Linked DNA regions of Drosophila melanogaster. The protein of the gene in region 1 interacts with the protein of each later gene in a pairwise test. Each region holds a gene or a part of one and is shown on either strand. Other genes may lie near its edges. The genes, in order: CG15728, step, nuf and otp.

Region 1 (6,525 bases):
CTGCCAGTGCTTACTTCACCCTGAACCTCACCCGCCTAAATGTGGGTCTGCAAACGATTCCGTTATACAAGCGTATGGATTATCCGGCGTCTTTGTTCACCCGCGCTCAGATTGCCGCCCAAGAGAAGGCCGCCGAACGGGCTGAGGCAGTTTACCAGCAGTGCATTCTGAAGGACGCCAATGGGGGCGCCAAGTCGCGAGCTCCCTCTGCTAAGTCCAATAAGGACGTTGCCCCTGCAGCGGCGGAAAAACCAATTGCTGCCTCAGCAGCTGAACCTGATGAACTTGACGAGCTATTGGCCATGACCGATACGCAACTGGATATAGGCTCTGGAACCATTACGATGCCAATGCCTATGGTGCAGCCGGCCACACCCTCATCGGCAGCAAGCAAAAACGGTGTGGAGGAATGGCTGGATTCCGTTTTGGATGAATAGTTACATAGTTCAGGAGGACTATTACCAGAGCTTTTTACGCTTACACGAAATATTCAAATCACTAAGTGCTTGCATTTTTAGAAGTAGCATCATTAAAATTGCAAAATCTAGAGTTTTCCTCGTAACTTTATAGTTAAAGCTAGAGCCTTTTTATTGTGTATAATAAAATCGTTGATTGCATATATATACGATGCGATTGTTTCTTGAAATAAGTTTCAAAGGTTAGGTTAAGTTATTGAAGATTTCAATTCTCTTCTCATCAAAGTATCTGAATTTATAACAGATTTCTTTGTTTCCGTTCGCTATTACTTACATTGTGGTCCACTTTTGCCTTGGTAACACTTAACCAAATGGCCATGCAAGAGCTGCATAAGCTCACATATGGACTCCAAAAGCACCAGGCGCTCATGCAGATGCCCCAAATCGTTGTTCTCCACCATCAGCGGACGCAGCTCATCAACGATCGCGATTAGCCAGCGAACTAATATCGAACAATCGTCCCTGGCCAGTTTCATATAATCCTCCGGCACATCGGTCTCCTGGCACAGTTGCTGGCCCTGGGCATTGAATGGTCCGATCAGCAGGATGCTGGATATCAAACGGACCACCAGGTGCAGGGAATGCAAATAGGATATTACATAAATATGCGGCTTCACCACGGCAACGACGAGCAGCAGTGTGTTAGCCGGACGCAATCGGTGCAAGTCCAGGCCCAAGTCCGACATATGATCCAACATGGCCCAGAGCAGACAGTTAGCCACAACGCTGGCCATTGTGCACAGCGGACTGGCCACGCGGCAGCCGAGGATCAGGTTGAGCATTGTGCTCGAACTCTGGATATCCAAGAGACCCAGGACATGGACGCATACCTGGTGGATCTGTTGGGCAAAGAAAGGGAAGGATCAAAAAATATATATTTCAAACATATATATGCTTACTCACATGGCTTTCCTCGGAGCATGCCATATAATTGAAGCACTTTTGCAGGAAAAGAGTTCTTTTCACCTGGGTGGCCGACGTGTCCTCATGATGGAGTAGATAAACCATCAAACCGCATACATACACCGCAGCCAGTTTATCTGCTCCGAATTGGATCCCCTCCTGGTTGAGCAGTTCATCAAAACCAGATATAATCTAACGGAACATGTGAATAAATTAGATAATGTGATTATGATATGAATATGGATCACCTCCAGAATATTGCCGGTGGCATAAATAAAGTAGCATTGTTCCCGAATCGCCGATCGACTCATAGTCTGACGCAGCTCTTCCAAACTGAATCCCTGGGGTCGCACCATGTGGCTCATGTTGTATTCTGCCATTTTATCTGAGGAAAAAGCTGGAAAAAGGGAGTTATGCATTACTTTTGAACAGGGAAAAGGCGCCTTCAAGGATTTGCTGCTGCTTCACCTTCTCCTCCTCCTTCTACAAATTAGTGACTGAAAGATATGATGTGTGCAAATAGCCAACGCTATTTTAATGAGCTCCACAACATTTTGACATGTTTTTCAAACACACTTGGCTGCCATCTTGGCCAAGCCGAGTACAGTGAAATCAGCAAGTGGGTACTTTTAATTGAAAAGTCTAGGAATTAACTATGAAGCTTTTGATTTGAATTCATGAACCTTGAACCTATGTACATCTTCCATGATTTAAAATTAATTTTTTGTAATAATATATTAAAATATTATAATTATATAGTTATGTTCATTTTTAGACAAAATACACTTTTGTGTTGAACTTCTAGTTGAATCGCATAAAATTGAAGGACTTAGAGGAGTCGCTGCTATCGGACGCTTACTGTAGTTATGATTTTTCCTGCCTGTGTGTGTGCCCGCCTTTGTTTGTGTGTATTTGTGCTTGTCCTTGCACTGCTTTCGAAAAGGCTGGCAAAATGCAAATGCACGCGCGATGTGCGCATTTTAGCATAAAAGTCACCTGGCCTCCGTTTCCGACTCCCACTTTTCCACCTGCCACGCCCATCGCCGCTTCAAGTTTCTTGCACACTTGGCGAATATCTGCTCATTATGCATTCATATTTCATATTTCGCAATTACTTGCTTTCACACACACACACACGCACGCAAACGAACTGGCGGTAAAAAGCGCAAGAGGTGCAAGCAAGATGGCCATAACAGCAGGAAACCGTTAAGTTTCTGTGTGTGTGTGTGTGTTTGTGCGTCCTTTGCTTGGTCTTTTCTTTCTGCTCTTCTGCTTTTTTATCGCCCCCTTTATTTTTTTGGGGCATTTTTTGCACAGATTCCTATTGAAATTTCCATATTCACATTTTAATTATGCGTCGGCATGAAAAGATTAACAACTTTTTTGCAATCTCTCTGTGTGTGTGTGTGTGTGTGTTATGCTCTCCTTTTTGTTTTTAATTATGCACATGTATTTGTTGATCAAATTTAAATGGCAAAGGGGTAGGCAACATATAACCCTCTCTTTCTGAACTGCTTGCAAACATAACCTCAATTTAGCTGCCACTGCTTGCGAAGCGATTGTATGCTAATCAACTGGGAACATCTATAGCATAATATGATCTATTATATCAGCGTCCAGCTAAAAATCTACGTCAAGTGTAAAAACCCAAGAATCCCCCTCTATTAAACGCAACAAAAGTGCTCAATTAGCGAGGGTTGTTCAGCAAGTTGAACGGGAAACGCAGACCAGGCCAATTACAGTCAAACATCCGTAAGTGGAAAAGATGCTTACATTTTTATTTTACTACAAGATTGAAAAGATGTTTACATTTTCCATTTGAGTATTTTTGCTCATCATAAGAAAAATTTTACTGTAGTTATTTATCTTACTTAAAAAAAAAAATGACAAGACTGGTATTATTATTTATGGAACCATCATTTGGAGGTTCAACTGTGCTAATAGATACTAACAATCATATCCGGTTCCCGTCGGATGGCGATGATAATAATAATCAAGATGGTGATGACAAGTGGCAAGTAGCTACCCTTTAATTTTTGAGGGTGGACCGAACTGATGAGCCGCTTGTGTGCGCTGTTTGTTGTAACCAATCTGTGCATTTTACGCCTAATTTAAGGCAAATTGTCCACCCCACTTGTCTCAACACTTTTGCAACCGAAAACCCTCCCCCATCCAACTAACTTTTTCATTTTTCGGTCTTCGAGGCCGCGGGGCCTGACAAAAGCCAACAGATTTTCATGTCATTATTTACTGATTTGTGGCATTTGAAAGGGAATCGGTTTTCGGGCTTAGGATTTGCGTTCTGTAACCACCCAGCGAACTTTTTGTTTACTAATGAAGTTGTTGTTTACACAATTGGAAAGTATGATGTATGTATACAAATGATAGCCACAGTGCAAGTGGAATCCAAACCGTTCCACCCACCAATTATCACGAAATGTCATCTGAGAATTAGCCACTTTTGCAAGACGCGACATAAGAAATCGAATAGACCCTTGCAAAGAAAATAAGTCTAATATTTCTGTCGGCCCTGATGATACTAAGCGAATTTCTTTCGGTAAGGTAAACATATTGATTTTCTATTAATTATATGCGTTGTGTAACTAGAAACAGTTTTAAAGAATTTGCAAGATGGGGGTAATGAAGAAAAAGTGCCCAAGTAATAAAGAATTTCATGTTTTACAGAGTTTCCTGTATGTATGTATATGTAAGTGCTGTGGCCAACTTTAACCTTTATTTAAACAGCTTAGGACTATTTTTGACCTTAAGATCAATATGCTCTAATAACTATATCATTAGCAATAAAAAAAAGATATACATAAATTTCCAAATATATAGATATAGATAGTTCTAGGAGCTTAGGAGCGTGAAAGAGAGTGATGACCTGGAAATTGCACCAAAGAAAAACTCAAAAAAGAAAGCTTTGGGATCTTTTTGATCAGTGCCAGAAGTTCAAGCGAATCCTTGAGATCAATATGCTCCTGGTGGGCACAAGCGAGAATGCTTTGAGATTCACTATATCATTAGCAATCAAACGAAAAGATACAAAAATTCTAAAATATCTAGATGCAGTTCGAGGAGCTCAGGAGTCTCATAAAGTTCATCCCCATGGATGGGGATCTCAAAGTTTATATACAAAAGGGGCAGGAATCGTAATGAATGTAATTAAAACTGGACATACCTGTACGTTTTGTATGAAATGTTTAGCTTGGCGGAAGAATACTTCACTTGTACAATGAAATTACTTCTCACTTCCTCGTCAATTATTAGCAAATTATCAAGGAGCTCACTAATATTTCAATGGGTATCTTTTTTATTCCGCTGACCACTATTCGCTTTTGCAACAAATTGCAACTGATCGATGGAAAGCCATAGTCAGTGGCTTTCCCTTAGCCATGGACTCTTAGCCAGAGGCAACCTGTATGGCTCAGTCGGGGTTCGAGGCTGAGACTGTGAGACGATTCGATTCGATTCGATCCGATTCGATTCAATCCACAGGTTCGATGGCCGCACAATGGGACACAATGCGGCAATTAGGCATAAAGATGCCAGATTTGAAATAAGCAAGTGTGGCACGGCCCGCGGCACAAACACAATTTCGGACGATTTTCCAAGCGGATAATGACAAACATTTTTAATCACAAAAACGAGACGAGAAACCACCACCGCCAATTGCAGTGGACGGGGGAAAACACAAATTTTCACACAATATGGCAAACATCTCGCAGCCATCCTCCAACCGGAAGTCAAGTGTGTCGAGTCCTTTTGCCCTGCCCATCCATGATGACATAATCGCCCCTCAACACAATCATTATGTCGAGAATTGCTGTTGCGGTTTCTCCGAACTTCACTTCTATTTTTTTTCCTTTATTTTTATATACATGCATATATATATATTTTTGTTTCTGCCCCGCGGATGGGCCACAGCAGGCTGGAATTTAAATTGAAATTGGTATATAATGGCAGGGAGTAACTGACAGTTCCTCCCCTGTGAGTAAAGTGAGTACATTCATGGCCAAAGTCAAGTGCCTTCTGTGGTAACTTTATTATTTTACAATACTTATGCGGCCCAAAACAATCATTACTTTAACAAGTCCAATTTGTTTAGATCTCAAGAATATTTATGTTGTATTTCTGACACCTTGCTATTTATTTACTTATTTATATATATATATATAATATAATTTTATGTTACGTGGGCTGCTTACCATTTTAAATGTATGAAGTAACAGAGGCAACAAATGTAAGATGGAAAGATGGAATTTGGAATTTGGAAATATAATTTAGATTTAGATTTGCTAATAGTTTTGGCTAGTCTTGAAGTTCTCGCGCCTCTTTAGTCGGCCAAACCCAAATTCATAATCACAGGCAAAAGTGCGCAGAAAAGTATGCTACACTTTTGGCACTAGCATTTTCTGTTGTTTTTTTTTCAAAGCTGCAAATTGTACGAACTCTTTAGTTTCGTAGTTTTCAGCCTGAATGCGAGCAAAAGCCGAAAAACTTTTCCCCACTCTCCCGGCTTTATTCCTTTTTTTTTTTAGTTGCAAAGTTCTCCAACGCCGAGAGCTTAATGCAATTAATAACTCATTAAATAAATACAAATCAAATTGAATGATGGCCAGCTCAAAGGAGAAGGGCTGGTGGAGCAGGAGGTGCCTTTGTGCTCAAAGGATGGCTGCGTAAAATGTACCAATTAAAAATGCCATTCAAATCTCAATGGCTGCGCAAATGAACCGCATGAATGTGAGAATTTGCGGTATCAAAAAAAAAAAAAAAAAACGCGAAGGAAACCGGTGAAAGAATCATCCATCATCTATCTGTATCTGCAAGTGGCTGGCATGATGGGGGTTAGCAGATGCATTTTATTCATTAGATTACATTCACATTTCATAGACGATTTCATGGCAACGTTAACTTGCTTGCCATCCCATTCGCCTTTGCCTTTCATTCGCATTTCAGCCATTTTTCCCGCATTTTTTCGCATTGCCCGCCTCGCTTCTTTGGCTTTTCCGTTTTGTTTCCGGTGGCTCCCATCAAGTATCTTTTTAATTAGCGTTCTGTGCCGCTCTGCACCACTTGAAAACTACTACCCGTTCCACGTCGTCTGCCCCTATATCATCATGCCATATCCTCGTTGGGTTGGCTT
Region 2 (4,958 bases), on another chromosome or scaffold:
TTTCGTTGTCCTAGTAACTTACAGTTTCTTCCAGCTCTATGACAACGTTTGAGTAGTGACCAGATGTCCAGTTTTTCAGACGCCAGCTCTGCTGTATTTTTTTTTCAGGGACGAGCTCTTCGAATTTTCCGAGCACATTGCCTCCGTAAAGAATAAATCTACAATAAAAGACAAAAGATTACTTACCATAAAGAAGTGAAGACAAGGGCGAGGGGCGAAATTTATGGTTATTCATAACAAGATTACTAAATGACGACACAAACGGTCCTGATGTGATGGTAAAATAAAACGACCAGGGACAAAAACTTACTCTCCACCGCGCACGGCATCTACTTTGGCAGGTGCCCTCGTAAAGGCAGTGACCATTTCTGGCTTTGTGAGAGCGTTGTAAAGGTCATTGGCGCTGCAGTGAAATTCTTCGGTCATCGAGAGAGTGCGAACGTCCAGTTTACAGCCGATGCCAGAGTTCTTCAGCCTAGGAGCCGCCACCGAGGAGTTTAAAGCGATATTTTGGGCTGCATTACGGGTATTGTTGGCATCCTTAAAATTCGCCACAGTATTTCCCGCTCCGGCCTCGTCGCCCTTCTTTGGTAGGATAAGGTTCTTGGAGTACTCCTCCTTCAACTCTCGGATGTAGGAAGCCAGTTGCTGCCGCACGCGGTCTCGTCCCACGTTGTACATGAACTGTTTCAGGGTCTCCGACTCGTCGTTGGACTCGTCGATTGTCACCGTGATCTCTACGTCGGCTAGTTCGTTCTCCTCGGAGAGATTGGGAATGGTTAACTTGCCCTTGTGGATCAGCTTGCTGTTCTTTAGGAGCTTTCCAGACCACTTGAGCACCAGCTCCCACTCGTAGAAAAATATGAGCTTGCCCTTGCGATTGTTCACGGTGGCCTCCCCGGAGCATTTGTCCACGGAGTCCACGGCACACTCAATGTCGCTTTGCCCTGCGTTTTGAGAAGTTTACTTTTAGGTTAGGATATACCTAAAATGTATGTTCTACACTACTACAAATTCTTATATACTCGCCTATTTTGAAATCCTGAAAAAGCTGATGCAGGCGGTCCTTGGACCATGGCGTGGCGTTCTTTTCCGTCCAGTGCCAGTTGTTCACGTTGGTGGCGTCGGGCCGCTCCTCCACAATCCAGCGCGGATCTCCTTCTCCCCACTTGGCCATCGCTTTCTTACTGTAGAATTGTATGAAACTGTCTTCAATTTTATGAAAAGATGGAAGATGTTGGTTTACTTTTGATCCGGCAGTCTTAGCTTAAACTAATTCGGACAATTACTATGGCCAGCGAGTGGAATTTTCTAGAATTCTGCGGTTCAAAATAGGGATGTAAAAATTATCGATGCCAGTGCACACATATGTTGGCAGCGTTGCCACCAAGTCCGAGGTGTTTGTGCCGTTAAAAAAACGAAATGATGTGTAAATTTCCTGACGATATTTTAAATGGAGTTATGACGAAAGACGTATTCGTTCAGTGAATTTTTTAACAGATTTAAAATGGACAGTAAGTATTGGTGGTATTGTATTTTTTTATAACAAGGTTGTTTTAATGTTATATTTTTATGTACGTCCAAAACTTTAAGTTTATGTTTTTAACTTGTAACAAACAATTTTCGAAATGGTAATAGCCGATTCCCGCAAATCACACCATAATGGATGTAACAAAGTTGTTTTACAGCTTTTCAAGCTATTTGTCTTGAAATAGATAAGGTCTGCTCTAATCTCTGAAAAAGTGTACCCCTAAAAATATTTAATGTATTGTTGCAAGTAAATAATTAGCCCTAATTTTTTTAGTTCTACTGATTAAAAAGTTCTTACGTTTGGTTACAAGATGCAGTGGCATCAGGATATTTTAAAAGTGGCCACACAGAGCTCGCGTAACACCCAGCTTAAGTCAGCATGCACTTGTTATTTTTCAGTTGTTTACTCAACCGATAGCTGAATTCAGCACATCCCTAGTGGAGAGCTGAAAGAAAATGGCGATAGAATTTTTTTGGTGTTGATTTGTTTATTATCCGTTCGTCTTTGATTGTTCAATGAAAAGCCTTAAAAATTAGCCAACTGCTGGTGAAAAATGTACAACTAGAGTGTGTGTCGTGTGCGCGAGAGTGTGTGTAGTAGCTCAGTAGCTCCGCGATGATTAGCGCAATGGACAATTTCGACAACAGATCGTACGGTGCCATATCAAAGGGGCGCAGTGAATTCTCAATGCCAGGTAAACAGCAGATACTTTTGCTGGCCCGAAGGATATAGCCTAGCATGAACAGAATACGAATCTTTGTATTGATAAAATTTTATTAAGATCACAAATTGGGATACCCACAACTACAAAATAAGAGAAGCAACAAGCAACATTTGTATGTATAGACTTGTGTGCTAGGTGAAATGTTAGTGCACATATGTATGTATATTATGTACATATGTACATTGCGTTCTCGTTTTTGGCCTTCGTCAGAATTAAGTCCGAAGAGCTTTGGTAACGCTAATAAGCCAATTTGCACAATTAGCAATCCATTGTGGTTTCGACAAGTGAAAATTGTTTATCGGCCTAAGCTAGTGACGTAGCCTACAAGATGCTTTCATCGCATCGCAAACAGCTCGTGTATGCACGTGTGTATGTGTGTTGGGCGCGTGTGCCTGGAATGCTGCTCTGGTGTTTTTTATTTTTACTGTTGGTGTTGCGATACAATTTACAAAATGCCCAGAAACAAGTATATGAATTTATTATTGATTCGCATCTCGTTCTTGCAGAACTTACACCGGAGCAGCAAAAACTGCTGATTGAGCTGCGACGCAAGAAGCAGGAACTTTTACTCGAAATACAGGTAATTGACCATCAATATATACATACATTTTTAATTTTGGAAACAACGATTTAAGAACATATTCGTATACACTTGTAGTATACAGAAAAACAATTTCGTGATGTCTTTTTGTCTGGAGTTTTTGCCAGCTTCTTTTTAGGTGATTTGACAGAGAGGGAGCAAAGACACTAGACTTATTCCAGAGCCTTTGTAGGGAGGGCTTGACGGGCTCTGAATTTTTTTATATGAACGATTAATCTTAAAATATATAAATTTTAATAAACCGATAATAAAAATGATGGTAAAATTATTGTTGGTGCTAAGAATTAATTTAGCAAATAATCGAAAGTAAATATCCCAAAAAAAAATACAATAAAAACATTAAGAAGAGAGATAGTGGGCAAGAGAGTCGATTTTTATGTTGTTGAGTAGCATATGTGCATTTATATGTATTTATAAAATTTTATGAATACCTATAAGCCAGACCAATTTGGTTTTTTTTTCTACTTAGGTTGTTTTTTAACTCCTTAATGCGGGAAGATTTGTGATCTGGCGGCTAGTGGCAAGTTTAGCTATTTATGTTCGTGTTGCGATCGTGACTAGTTTTCACTTTGTTAAGACTTCTTTATGTTCAACAACTTTTTTAAAAGAAATATATATTTTAGTGCTCATATCATATCATACCTGAATACAATGACCATGGTTTTAACCCGCACGATCTACGATTGAAATAAAGCATTTGAAAATGAGTTGTTAAACGCCATATAGGCTTTCTCTGGTGTCTTTCTATAAAAAAAATCCAAAAATACTTGCTAGGATTTTAATATTTTTTGTGGTTAAAATTACCACTCACCAGCCCCATTACAAGTGATAATTTTGGTAGTGTATTTAAAGTCTTGTCAAGACATAATGTTTCAATTACCAAATCTGAATTTGAACTGAATTATTCACTCGAATTCCGAATATACAAATAAAATAAAAAGAAAATGTTTGTTCAGTCGAAACAAACTGTCCCTCCGGAATTCCCTCAGAATATTCAAGTCATCGCTCCTGTGACGATCGGTTCACCAGAATAGTAAAACTGCTGTCTTCCAACAGCGAACTGGAGATTTTTTCGCGTGCTGTAATTGTGGTTCTTCGAGTCGTGATCTAAAGTGAACGAATTTTTATTTATTGGATTTTTAACAATTGCCGTTTTGTCATTGTGCTGATATGTGCAAATGCTTGTATCGTTAGATTGTGAGAAAACGCAAAGGTGAGTGTGCTAAAAAGTCAATTATAAATTTGTGTGTGGTACGATACTACCAATTTAATTATCAATTGTTAAAATAAACGTTTGCTGAAATTAATAAAAATATTAATATTTTGCTAGTACAAGTCCTAGTTAAAGGGCTTTTATTTATTGATAACTTTAATTTAAAAAATGTATCTACCTTAATAATGTTGAACTACTTTTAGTGTAAGGATCATGTGTTGTTATCGGTCAAAATTTTCGTATGCACATCTGCACCGAAATGGAAATCTCATATTTTTTCTGATTCCCCCGAATTTCCGTTGCTTTTTTTTCCTAACTATCGGGCTTTATTATGTCTACCTGGATATGCAATTGACACATCGTCCCCTACCTTTCACTCTTCTGTTCCCCGACTACCTGGAGTTATAATTTTTAGCTCAGCGCAAAATTACCTATTTTTTTATAGAATTTATAGAATGGATATTTAAAACCAGACAGAAGAATAATAAAAGTATTTAAACCCCTTAATCGTAGAGTAAAAGGACATACTAAAGCAAGTATATTGTACTACATATATGTAAAGTATATACAACTGTGCATGTTTCAATGATATGTATATAGACATATATTTTAAAGAATTTATGCCATTAAAACTGGTTTTATCCCATTTAAAATAATTGGTATATTTGTAATCAAAGGCTTTAAACTAATGGATTGCAATGATATGTTTGGTGTTTACACTTTGAATGCGTCGTTTGTGTGCACAGAAATTTCGAAAGAAAAATACGCAAATGTCTTCTTCACTGCGTTGCGGTCTTCTGACTGAAATCAACAAAAATCACAATTCTGTATATTTTTTTTATGTTTATTATTGTATTTACTATTATTTTTGTATACCATGGGAAGGTGT
Region 3 (4,870 bases), on another chromosome or scaffold:
TACTTCTTCTTTTTTTTTTAGAACCAACAGACCGTAAAATTATTTTGTTCAGACTTTGAGCAGAATTCTAGACAATTTTACATATCCTCGTCGTACAGCTATTTTCCAACCTCTCCCTATTTTCATTGTTATTTTGTTCCTCAGGTTTTGAATTCCCGCCTAGTTTCTAATTACCAGAAAATGCAATGGCTGGCTAAGTTTGCTTTTCTTTTACTTGGAATTTGTGGCGTGCTGTTTACTTTTGTAGTCTAGTAAACTGAATCATTCTTAGTCTTATCAAATCGTTCGGCGACGTGTATAGTTAAGGTGCCCTTGTCAAAGCTTCATTTTCACGTTATCACATACAAATTTAAATAAAGGTCAATATGAGGGCCAATTAAAAGCAGGGCATGACTGATAAAGATTTTACTTTTTAAAGAACTTTATTTGCTTTGAATGATTCCAAGTTGATTTACGAAATAAGCATTCAAATAAATAAAATACAACTTTATTACAAATGATTTGGAAACCCTTATCAAAATACAATCCAATTCCTTCAATACAAGTACAGTAAGTAACCGAATAATCTGATTTCAATTCAACTAAAACTAATTTGCTAATGAAGTAAACTTTCCTTTCTTGTCAGCTGAATATTTTTGGATTATCATATCTCTTCAACCATTTTTTCCTCGCCCATGTCAGGCAATCAAAAACAGCATAATAGAAAATTATCATTAGCTACTCTTCAGCAAAATTGAATTCCACAAAGATTTGCATACAATGGTCGACGAAGGAAGGGGTGAAAATGGGGATGAGTCGAACGAGGGGAGCTCATTAAATGCAAATTTTACTTCGCTGCTGTGCACTTTTCATGCAACAAAGTGAAGTGAACAAGTTACAACAAAAAGGTTGTAAAATATACAATGATTAGCCGAAATTGGATCAGGAATGCTGAGTACCACATAAAATATTCATGATTTCAAACAAATGTATATTTAAAGACTTTGCATCAATTATATGGGAATCATATACATAAGAACTTGAAAAAAAATTGTCATTGATTATTTTTAATGTACTATTATGTATTCTATAACTTTCTTGAAAGCTTTTGCTTAAAAGAACCAAAAACTAATGATGCAATCCTTTAAAATATTTTTAATTTTCCTGCCGATTTTATGATCTTCAATAATCTGTGCCGCGATCTCACAAATATTTTTCAATTTTAAAAGTGAATAGCTAATTTTTTCGATTATTTAAAATGGTGTATTATGTATTTTATTACAACCACAATCGAGGGAGAAAAACAAATTTCGATTAAAGCACGCGAAACGCGAAAAGCAAACTGAATGAACCAGAAATTCAGGGGCAAAATAAACCGAGGCAGTCGCCAGCGATAGAGAGAAAAATGAGAGACTGGGAGAGCGAATTTGGGGAGGCGCAATCTTTATAAATAGGAAAAAATAATAATCAACAAACAAGAGCAATGACAAGGGACCGAAGAAAGAGAGCGATCCGATCCCCCAAAGGAAAAGTTTTTCGCCATATGTCCGAGGGTGATTCTCTCGCCGAATCCGCCCGCCTCCTTTATTTTGAACATATGGTTTTTGAGTCAGGGACAGCGCATAATTATGTGGAATTTATATACGGTCACCCCAAGCCAACCGCTCCCAAAATGCCTCCCATCATATGTTCATATATGCATACATACGTATGTATGTATATGTTTTACTCATTACTAAATAAAAGCGCAAGTGAATAAGCGTGGACACGAACCGAAAAGCAAGAGTAACGGGACGCATGCGGGATTGGATGGTAATCTCCATCCATTTCGTCCCATCTCTTTCGTACACCCCCTTTTTGTTGATGTCATCAGAGGGTCTTTTCCGTTCTTTTGTTATTGCGGCTACCTTAGGCCTTTTACTTATTGGTTTTTAGTGCTAGTTTTCAGTTCCGGTTAGTTGTCTTCTGTGCTGTTAGGGCACTGTGCCGTTAGATTTATATGCCTACTAATTGACGAACCATCGCTAATGAAAGAATATTTTCCTACCAAACTTAACGGTACGGAAAATGCCTAGTAAAAGAAATTAAGAAGTACGAGTTATGTATAATGAATGAACTTGGAACTGCTATGCGTTATTCTCGGTGGAAGCCCTTGATTTATTTAATTCCCTTTGAATGTAGAAACTGCCGAAAGCAATGAAAACAAGACTTGATTTTTAAAGAGGCAATATTATTTTTTTTTTTTCATCTTCCTAAGTTTACTAAACTTTTTAAGAAAATACTTAAACTTGTCTCCATTAATAATAAAAAAAATCAACACAAAAAGCACAATTAATTTACATTGTGCCGGTTTTGCAAATTTGATCACCTTATCTTTCTTCGTTTTACTTCATCAATTACCGTCAGTGTTTTTTCAACTTTTAACGCCCCATAACGAAGAATTGCTTTGAATTGTTTAAAGCTATTTTATTTTTTCTTTCATTTTGTCCCATTTATTGTATCATTTATCAATTTTATGCCACACTTGATTTCCATTTTTTATGTTTCGATAAAACACTTGGCAAACTGATTCAACCGCACTTTTCAATTTAAGATCAATCAACCAATATATTTGCCAGAGGGTATGAAAATTAGAAACATGAGCCGAACAAGGCTACTTTGATTACGGGTTTTCACAACAGACCCTGTCATTAACGAATTTGTTTTGATTTCACATTTTTCCTTAAATAAGCGGTTAATGAGCCAAAGGCACCTGACACAGCTGATAAGCGAATTCGATCGATAATAGGTAACACACAAAAAACACACGAATTGAGGTAACTTTGGGTTAATTTTCTCGAATTTCGAACCTTTTTTAATTTGGCTATTTTGCTTAGGAGAGCAGCAGCAGCAGCTGCATTTTCCTTTTCCTTGGCAATTGCATTGCCCAACAACAAAACACCCGCGCGAGAGAGCGCGAGAGAGTGAGAGACAGGGCGACCGTTCGATGCGCTGCTCCGCTTTTCTAGTGTTGTGAACGCGGCAAGCGTTAAATGCAATCTGAGAGAGGAAAGCGCTGAAAAGCCAGCGCCAAGTCGCGGCCCCTCCTCTGCCGCTGCCTCGGTCGACGTCGGCAGAAGCCGCGACTTGTTTTGGGTGCCCGAAAAAATAACGAAAAGAAATACAAAAAAACAGAGCCCCAAAGCAAAACGAACGCAATAGAAAAATTCCACTAATGTGACTTAGCAGTGTTGGAAATTCGTATTACATGCACTTGAGAAAAGAAAATTTTGTTTGCTGAGTGGCTTATATGCACATACACATATACACATTGTATAACATAGTTAGCCAGGTGTTTTTAGGTTTGAAAAGAAATACTAACTTCCAAATATAATATTTGTTTAAACAAAACTTATATTGCAGAATATATTTAAAAAATAATGGATTCAATTTGAGTTTTTGAATGTATTTAGTAAAGTGCACTTTACCAAACATATACATATGTATTACTGGTGGTTAATTCTTTTTTTTCATCAGTGTATGTGACTTAATAGACATTTGCAAAGTGCATTCGGGTAAAGTGGATAGAATGGCTTGAGGGAAAGGTGATGGGAGACAGAATGAGAATCGAGTGGAAAGAATCAAAAGCGACATATGTGAGCAACTCTTGAACTAAATTGAGTCAATTAAAAGTAATGGAAAGAAAAATCAAAGGAAAATGAGTCAGGGAACTGGGCTGTTCAGGGTGCACCGGATTATTCAACGAATTGGTCTGAAATGCGTAACATATGAGAGCGATGTAAATAGTTGAACCGACAAAATACATTTTTTTGCACCCCCTTTTATTTTGCAAAGTTTTCTTGAAAAGTATAATTTCAGTGTAATAGTGTAAATGTGTGATTGACAGCACTATTATGTATTGACACCCTTCAGAGGGCTCCGCAGTCTTCGATAATTACTTTCTTGCTGGTCTTCCCATCTTGTGAACCGTAAGATTCTACCTTCTGGACGATATCCATTCCCTCAACGACCTTGCCGAACACGACATGCTTATTATCCAGCCATGTGGTTTTCCCGGTGCAAATGAAAAACTGAGATCCATTGGTATTGGCCCCAGCATTGGCCATCGAAAGTACACCAGCTCCGGTATGCTTTAGCTCGAAATTCTCATCGGGAAACTTGTTTCCATAAATGGAGCGTCCTCCAGTTCCGTTTTGATTAGTGAAATCACCGCCCTGACACATGAAATTCGGGATGACGCGGTGGAATGGTGATCCCTTGTAGCCGTACCCCTTCTCTCCGGTGCAGAGGGCCCGGAAATTCTCCGCCGTCTTGGGCACCACATCCGAACGTAGTTCCATCACAATTCTACCTAACTTCTCACCTCCTGCGGCTATATCGAAGTAAACGCGTGGCAACGACATCTTCGCAGATGCCGAAAATTTTCGGAGAAAAGCCAGATCTATTAGGTTTAAAATCGAACGATGCCTTGTTCAAAAACAAGAAATATATTTACCGGATAACTTGGTGGTGTCAGCTTTATGATAAAAAAAAGTAACGACTTTCAAGAGAACCGTACAGTAGAACAGCTGGAACTGAACTGACGAATATTCTGGGCTAGTCAGGGATCTGAAGTAAGGGCTCGTTGAAATTCATTTCACAGCCTTCTTTATAAAATCCAGTAGCAAAAAAAAATGCCTGCTTTGGCTTCCACAATTTTTAATACATTGCAAATGATCGGTATATTTGGATATTTTAAGGTAATATTGTCCTTAAAATACCTTTATCCGTGTCTAATCTTACAGACCTTATTTACTCTTCTAATTTGTTTAACCGCCGCCTTAATCAACGCAAAACTCACAGATACTTTTAAAGCCGGCTATATTTACCTTTCATTTGCAGTTGTGTACAA
Region 4 (4,577 bases), on another chromosome or scaffold:
TCAAGGATTTCGCAGCTGTCCTGGTCACAGTCACTATCTGCTGCCCGGATTTGGCCAAAGTGATTTACGACATGCTCATGCCAGGCATTCAAAATGCGGTCTAATTGAGACTCCTTAGATGATTAATCCTTGGCTAATATGGCGAAATTCAACAAGTCTACGCCGCACATTTCCCATAAATTTATTTTTCTTTTTGCTGCCGATAACGCCTTTGATTAATTAACACACTCGAAGTTTTTTTATGTACCTCATGTGAGAAAAGGAAAAAAAATGAAAAGTGATGCATATGCTCTAATAAGTGAGCCCAACAACGAATTGAGATGTTATCACGATTTATTCGGCTTGTTTACTTTATAATACACTAACAGAAAAATTTCTGTTCGATGTTTTCGACATTTGTGTGGGATTGTTATAAGTATTTCACACGTTAGTATGCAAGTTTGTGAAATACAAGACTTAATAGGTTGTGTACAATTATCAATCTAAATTTATTACGCCACTTATTAAATTTTTTAAATTATTTTAGAACGTTTGTCACCCCGCACAAGTGTGAACCTTGAATTATGCTCATTGCAAAACAAACTACAACTGCTGCGATTTTTTGCATTCTTCTTGTGGTTTTAATTGCTACCTAGAGTTTTTAATTAACGCCCCCGATTTAGCTGTATGTATTTGTCGGAGGGAGAAGGCCAACATAATTTGCAGACTTTTGAGGGGCGGTGGGAGGACTTTGAACTGGGCGCAGGAAGTGGGGTGGAAATCCTTTGAATTGCGGTTGCCATGACAAACTCTTATTTCGCCCGGCATTCCGTTGTCTGGCTAATTCAACGTTTGTGCAGCATGCAAAATATTATAAAATTCCGCCAAATGTCGGAGGTACTTCCCCTCCAGCAAAAAGACGGGCAAAAAAAAAAAACGGAAACAAAAACTAATAAACGACAACAGGTGAGGCTGAAAGCTGACACGTGGCATCAACAACGCTGAGTAAGAATTCAAGGCGCATTTTTGGGAGGAGTGGACTTTCAGCAATAACTGTGGCCCAAGCGCCGGTTGCCAACGCGACCAGCTGTGGAGTATAGTTGAAGTTTTTCGAGGGGAATCGAGGTCTGTTTCGGCATCGATGATAGCCCGCCTATCGATAGGCGGCAGGACCTGTTATCGCCGAGGGCGCCAAAAAGTGCTATCGTTCGGGGCCACAAGCTCCCGAGTTCCCTCATTCGTTGGTCTGCATTGAGGGCGTGGTCTGGCCTACGCACAGCGAGTATAGCCGACCCGCTCTAGCAACCACTTGGCAGGGCAAGCGCGAACGAGTCAGCATGCTTGGCTCGACGGCAAGATGGCTGTGGGCTCAGCTAGCTGTCTCCTTTCCTCGCCCGCCCGGGGCACTGGCACGGTGTGTGCTCTTTGCGATTTTTGCAAATCAATGCGAGAGATAAGCCCGCTGGCAGAGATAACGCTTGACTTAACCGTCAATTGTGCGAGGGGGTGGCGATTGAATGCGGCGCCAGTGCGCAGTCGTTGTTGTCGAAGTTATCAGGTTTCGTAGTCAATTCGCTTTGATTTTTTCGCACTGCCCTCAAATGCAAGCGAGCAGCGCTACGTATACGGCGTACAGCTCCCATACGATACAATAGTGCGATCCGAAACAATTCGATCCGTTTCCGTTTGCTAGTGCCTAGAAAGCCGTCGCACTGGCAGAGACCATTAACCGAATTGATCTAACTGGGAAGTGCCAAGGAATAACTAAGTGAAAATGTGCCCGAAGTGTAAAAATGCTATCAATTAAACAGTAGAAAACAAGGACGAGTGACCACACCCGAAGGTGGAAGCAAGCCGTGTCCTCCGCCGGACAGTGTCCGGCTGTCAGTTGGTCAAACAGTTCATCAATAAACGATTCGACTTCCGTTTCATTGCGTGTCCCTAAGCTGTGCATGTCTGCGTGTCTGTGAGTGCGATTGTGTGTGTGTGCCAGCTGTGCGCGTGTGTGTGTGTGTGTGTGGGAGCTAAGGAAACTTTTCAACTTCCGGCCAAGTGACTTGGATTTAATTTCTTTGGCTTTTTTATGGTCAAGGCATTTAATTAATTTTACTATGGCAATTTGATCGTCTGCTGGCCTGAACTCTGACCCCAGCCCATAACCCTGTGGCATACACAAAAAGCAAGGAGGCGGAAAAAGGACGAGCGATAGGAGGAGCCAGGTGAGTCCTTGGCCAAATGAGCAATAAAACTCAATGCAAATGCCCACACAATCGAACTTCGGCAGAAGTTTCTGCGGTTAAGGAAAGTGAAACGGATTTAGTTTTCTGGTTAGTCGCACAATAGTTAAATTACCCAAATAGCTGGACATTTGACAGGGGTCAAAGTTCAAGAGAGGGCTGGGCCAAATATTCACAACACACGAGCAATTAGTATACTTAAATGTTTTGCCAAGACAAAAATCAAACATTCATTTATGATTCCAGAAATCTTGATACATTGTAAGCAGTTTTATTGCATATGATTGTATACTATAAACATAAACAAAAACTTTGCTAAACAAGTTAATGACCATTTTCTCTTGTCAATTTAAAAACTTTTAGTATTGAAAATTAACAAGTACTTCCAAAAAAGCACAAAGTCACCTATGTATGTTTATATTTGCGTTGAGCAGAAGCCACCCATCCAAAAATAACAAATCTGTTTACTTGCAGCCACACCCATTTCCACCGAACAATTGAGATGTAATTTGCACCGCAGGTGAACTTCAACTCCAACGTTCTGTGATAGACGAGTATACGAGCAGGAACTCCCATTGGGATTCCGCCACCACCAGTCGATATCGATTCCCGATTCAATCAAATTGGATCCCGAATCCTAACTTTCGGAGCAGCAATCAGAAACAGCGACAAACTGTCGACTCTGTCGATCCGCAATTTCTCGGCAAACATGCTGAACAATCTTGGGGCCAATGTGCTGGGTAAGTTACGCCCCCAATCCTCGATAGCGTTTTAAGTGCGGGCTGCGGGCGGGAGCTGCGTATAATGTTGCAATTAAGATCGCCAAGTGAATTGCGCTAATGTATAATAATGTGTGTATTAATCCATGGCATACGATCCGCCTGGCCATAATTAAACTAATTTCTTGAGCACACCCACAAAAGATCGGAGGGGTAGTTAGTCGTACTTCCGATCTGGCGATTGCCATCGCATCTCCCATGTCTGCTAAATGGCCTATAATTGAGACGTCTAACCAGATGGCGCCAGGTGTCGCGTGCATTTAGCAATAATTAAGTTGTGTATTTAACTAACTCGGCAAACCTTCTCCGATTCCCATTCCCATATGCCTATGCCCATTCCGAATCGAGTGTGGGTGGGTGTGTTTGTGTTAATTGATATAATTGCTCTTTTAAATATGCCGCAAATTGTGAATTACATTCACACATTCACCCGGCGCACGCACATAATTATCAAACTGTACTTGTGTCCTCATATTAATATATTAATAATTCCGAATACACATATGTACATATGTATGTGCGTGTGTGCAGGTGAATAAATTATTTTTACCACACTGTTGATCAACGATTCAAGCACTTTCAATTTTGGCAATCAATTTGTTGTTAGCCGTCCAACACTACCAGAAAATACAGTTTGCAAGTGCATTTGCAACTGCAACTGCAGCAGCCATGGATGAGTTATGGCTCGCGTTTATATTCAATTTTTATTGCCAGCATCCTTGCGTCCTTCGAAGCGTTGCCATTAATTACTTTTATTAATTTATTGCCATTTTTCACGCGCCAATTGTCGCCGCTCGGTGCACGCGGCGTATGCGTAATGTCCATAGTTGCCATTGAAGATGGGTGTTTAATTAAGGGCTAGCAAGCGAAACTGATCTGACGGTTTGCTATCTGCCATGGATTGCGACTGCCAAAGTTGGCTTTTAAAGTTTTCGCCGGCTTCAACTTTAGCCAGCTCCATTTGCCCACGAAGAACTATAAATTTCAATGAATCGCAGTGCGGAATCCTTTGGACAAATCCTGCCCGCAGTGCTGGAGTCTGCCATAATAAATTTCGTGAGCCTTTTTCCGAGTTTCGCACAACAGAGAGGCCAAAAAACATTTGCATACTGGGTGCGTGGCCGAGAGGGGCAAAAGTGGATGCCCCCCTAACCACCCCTTTACAATTAAGAGCAATTTGCATGCAAAAGAAATGGCAGAACTTTCCCCGGATTCGTATTGTCTCTCCCCTACTAATGCTTAATTTGCATGCAGCGAAAGGAGCTCGAATGGCGTTTCGTTTGGGCGCTTTTTTCGTGAGCCTCGCATTAATTAAATTAATTTCATGATTGCATTTGTAATTTGCACAGACCCCCTTCAGGTTTACCCCCACCCGTCCGTTGCATCCACGAAATATCTGCGCGTGCTTCGCTTTGTGCGTTCGGCATTTTTGCGGTGGCCTAGGCTAGTGAAATATGTGTGCTTAACCCCGCTGAACACCGCTTAACCCCCCACTGCCATATCCGCTTTGCATTGAAATGTTTTGCGGTTGCTGCGGATTCTGTTCCCAGTTGCGGTTAGTTGTTGGAGCAGCCCAGATTCC

The links.
Region 2: the proteins of CG15728 (region 1) and step interact in a two-hybrid assay, tested with the Drosophila melanogaster proteins (one large-scale study listed by BioGRID).
Region 3: the proteins of CG15728 (region 1) and nuf interact in a two-hybrid assay, tested with the Drosophila melanogaster proteins (one large-scale study listed by BioGRID).
Region 4: the proteins of CG15728 (region 1) and otp interact in a two-hybrid assay, tested with the Drosophila melanogaster proteins (one large-scale study listed by BioGRID).

Annotation. Positions count from the first base shown.
Region 1 is NC_004354.4:12,622,467-12,628,991, reverse strand, and holds CG15728 (uncharacterized protein), read right to left. Parts: upstream 4,701-6,525; 5' UTR 4,561-4,700; intron 1,900-4,560; exon of another isoform or gene 1,848-1,899; intron 1,777-1,847; 5' UTR 1,760-1,776; coding exon 1,628-1,759; intron 1,572-1,627; coding exon 1,380-1,571; intron 1,316-1,379; coding exon 743-1,315; 3' UTR 547-742; downstream 1-546. Other genes in the region: Aven (apoptosis and caspase activation inhibitor), read left to right, coding at 1-437.
Region 2 is NT_033779.5:21,754,431-21,759,388, reverse strand, and holds the start of step (steppke), read left to right. Parts: upstream 1-1,922; 5' UTR 1,923-2,146; coding exon of another isoform or gene 2,147-2,225; intron 2,226-2,761; coding exon of another isoform or gene 2,762-2,835; intron 2,836-4,958. Other genes in the region: CG1416 (uncharacterized protein), read right to left, coding at 23-158, 311-947, 1,030-1,177.
Region 3 is NT_037436.4:14,217,895-14,222,764, reverse strand, and holds the start of nuf (nuclear fallout), read right to left. Parts: upstream 3,024-4,870; 5' UTR 2,829-3,023; intron 1,326-2,828; exon of another isoform or gene 1,265-1,325; intron 1-1,264. Other genes in the region: CG7768 (uncharacterized protein), read right to left, coding at 3,888-4,382.
Region 4 is NT_033778.4:20,900,407-20,904,983, reverse strand, and holds the start of otp (orthopedia), read left to right. Parts: upstream 1-1,569; 5' UTR 1,570-2,198; intron 2,199-2,690; 5' UTR 2,691-2,925; coding exon 2,926-2,956; intron 2,957-4,577. UniProt on the Drosophila melanogaster protein: May be involved in the development of the central nervous system.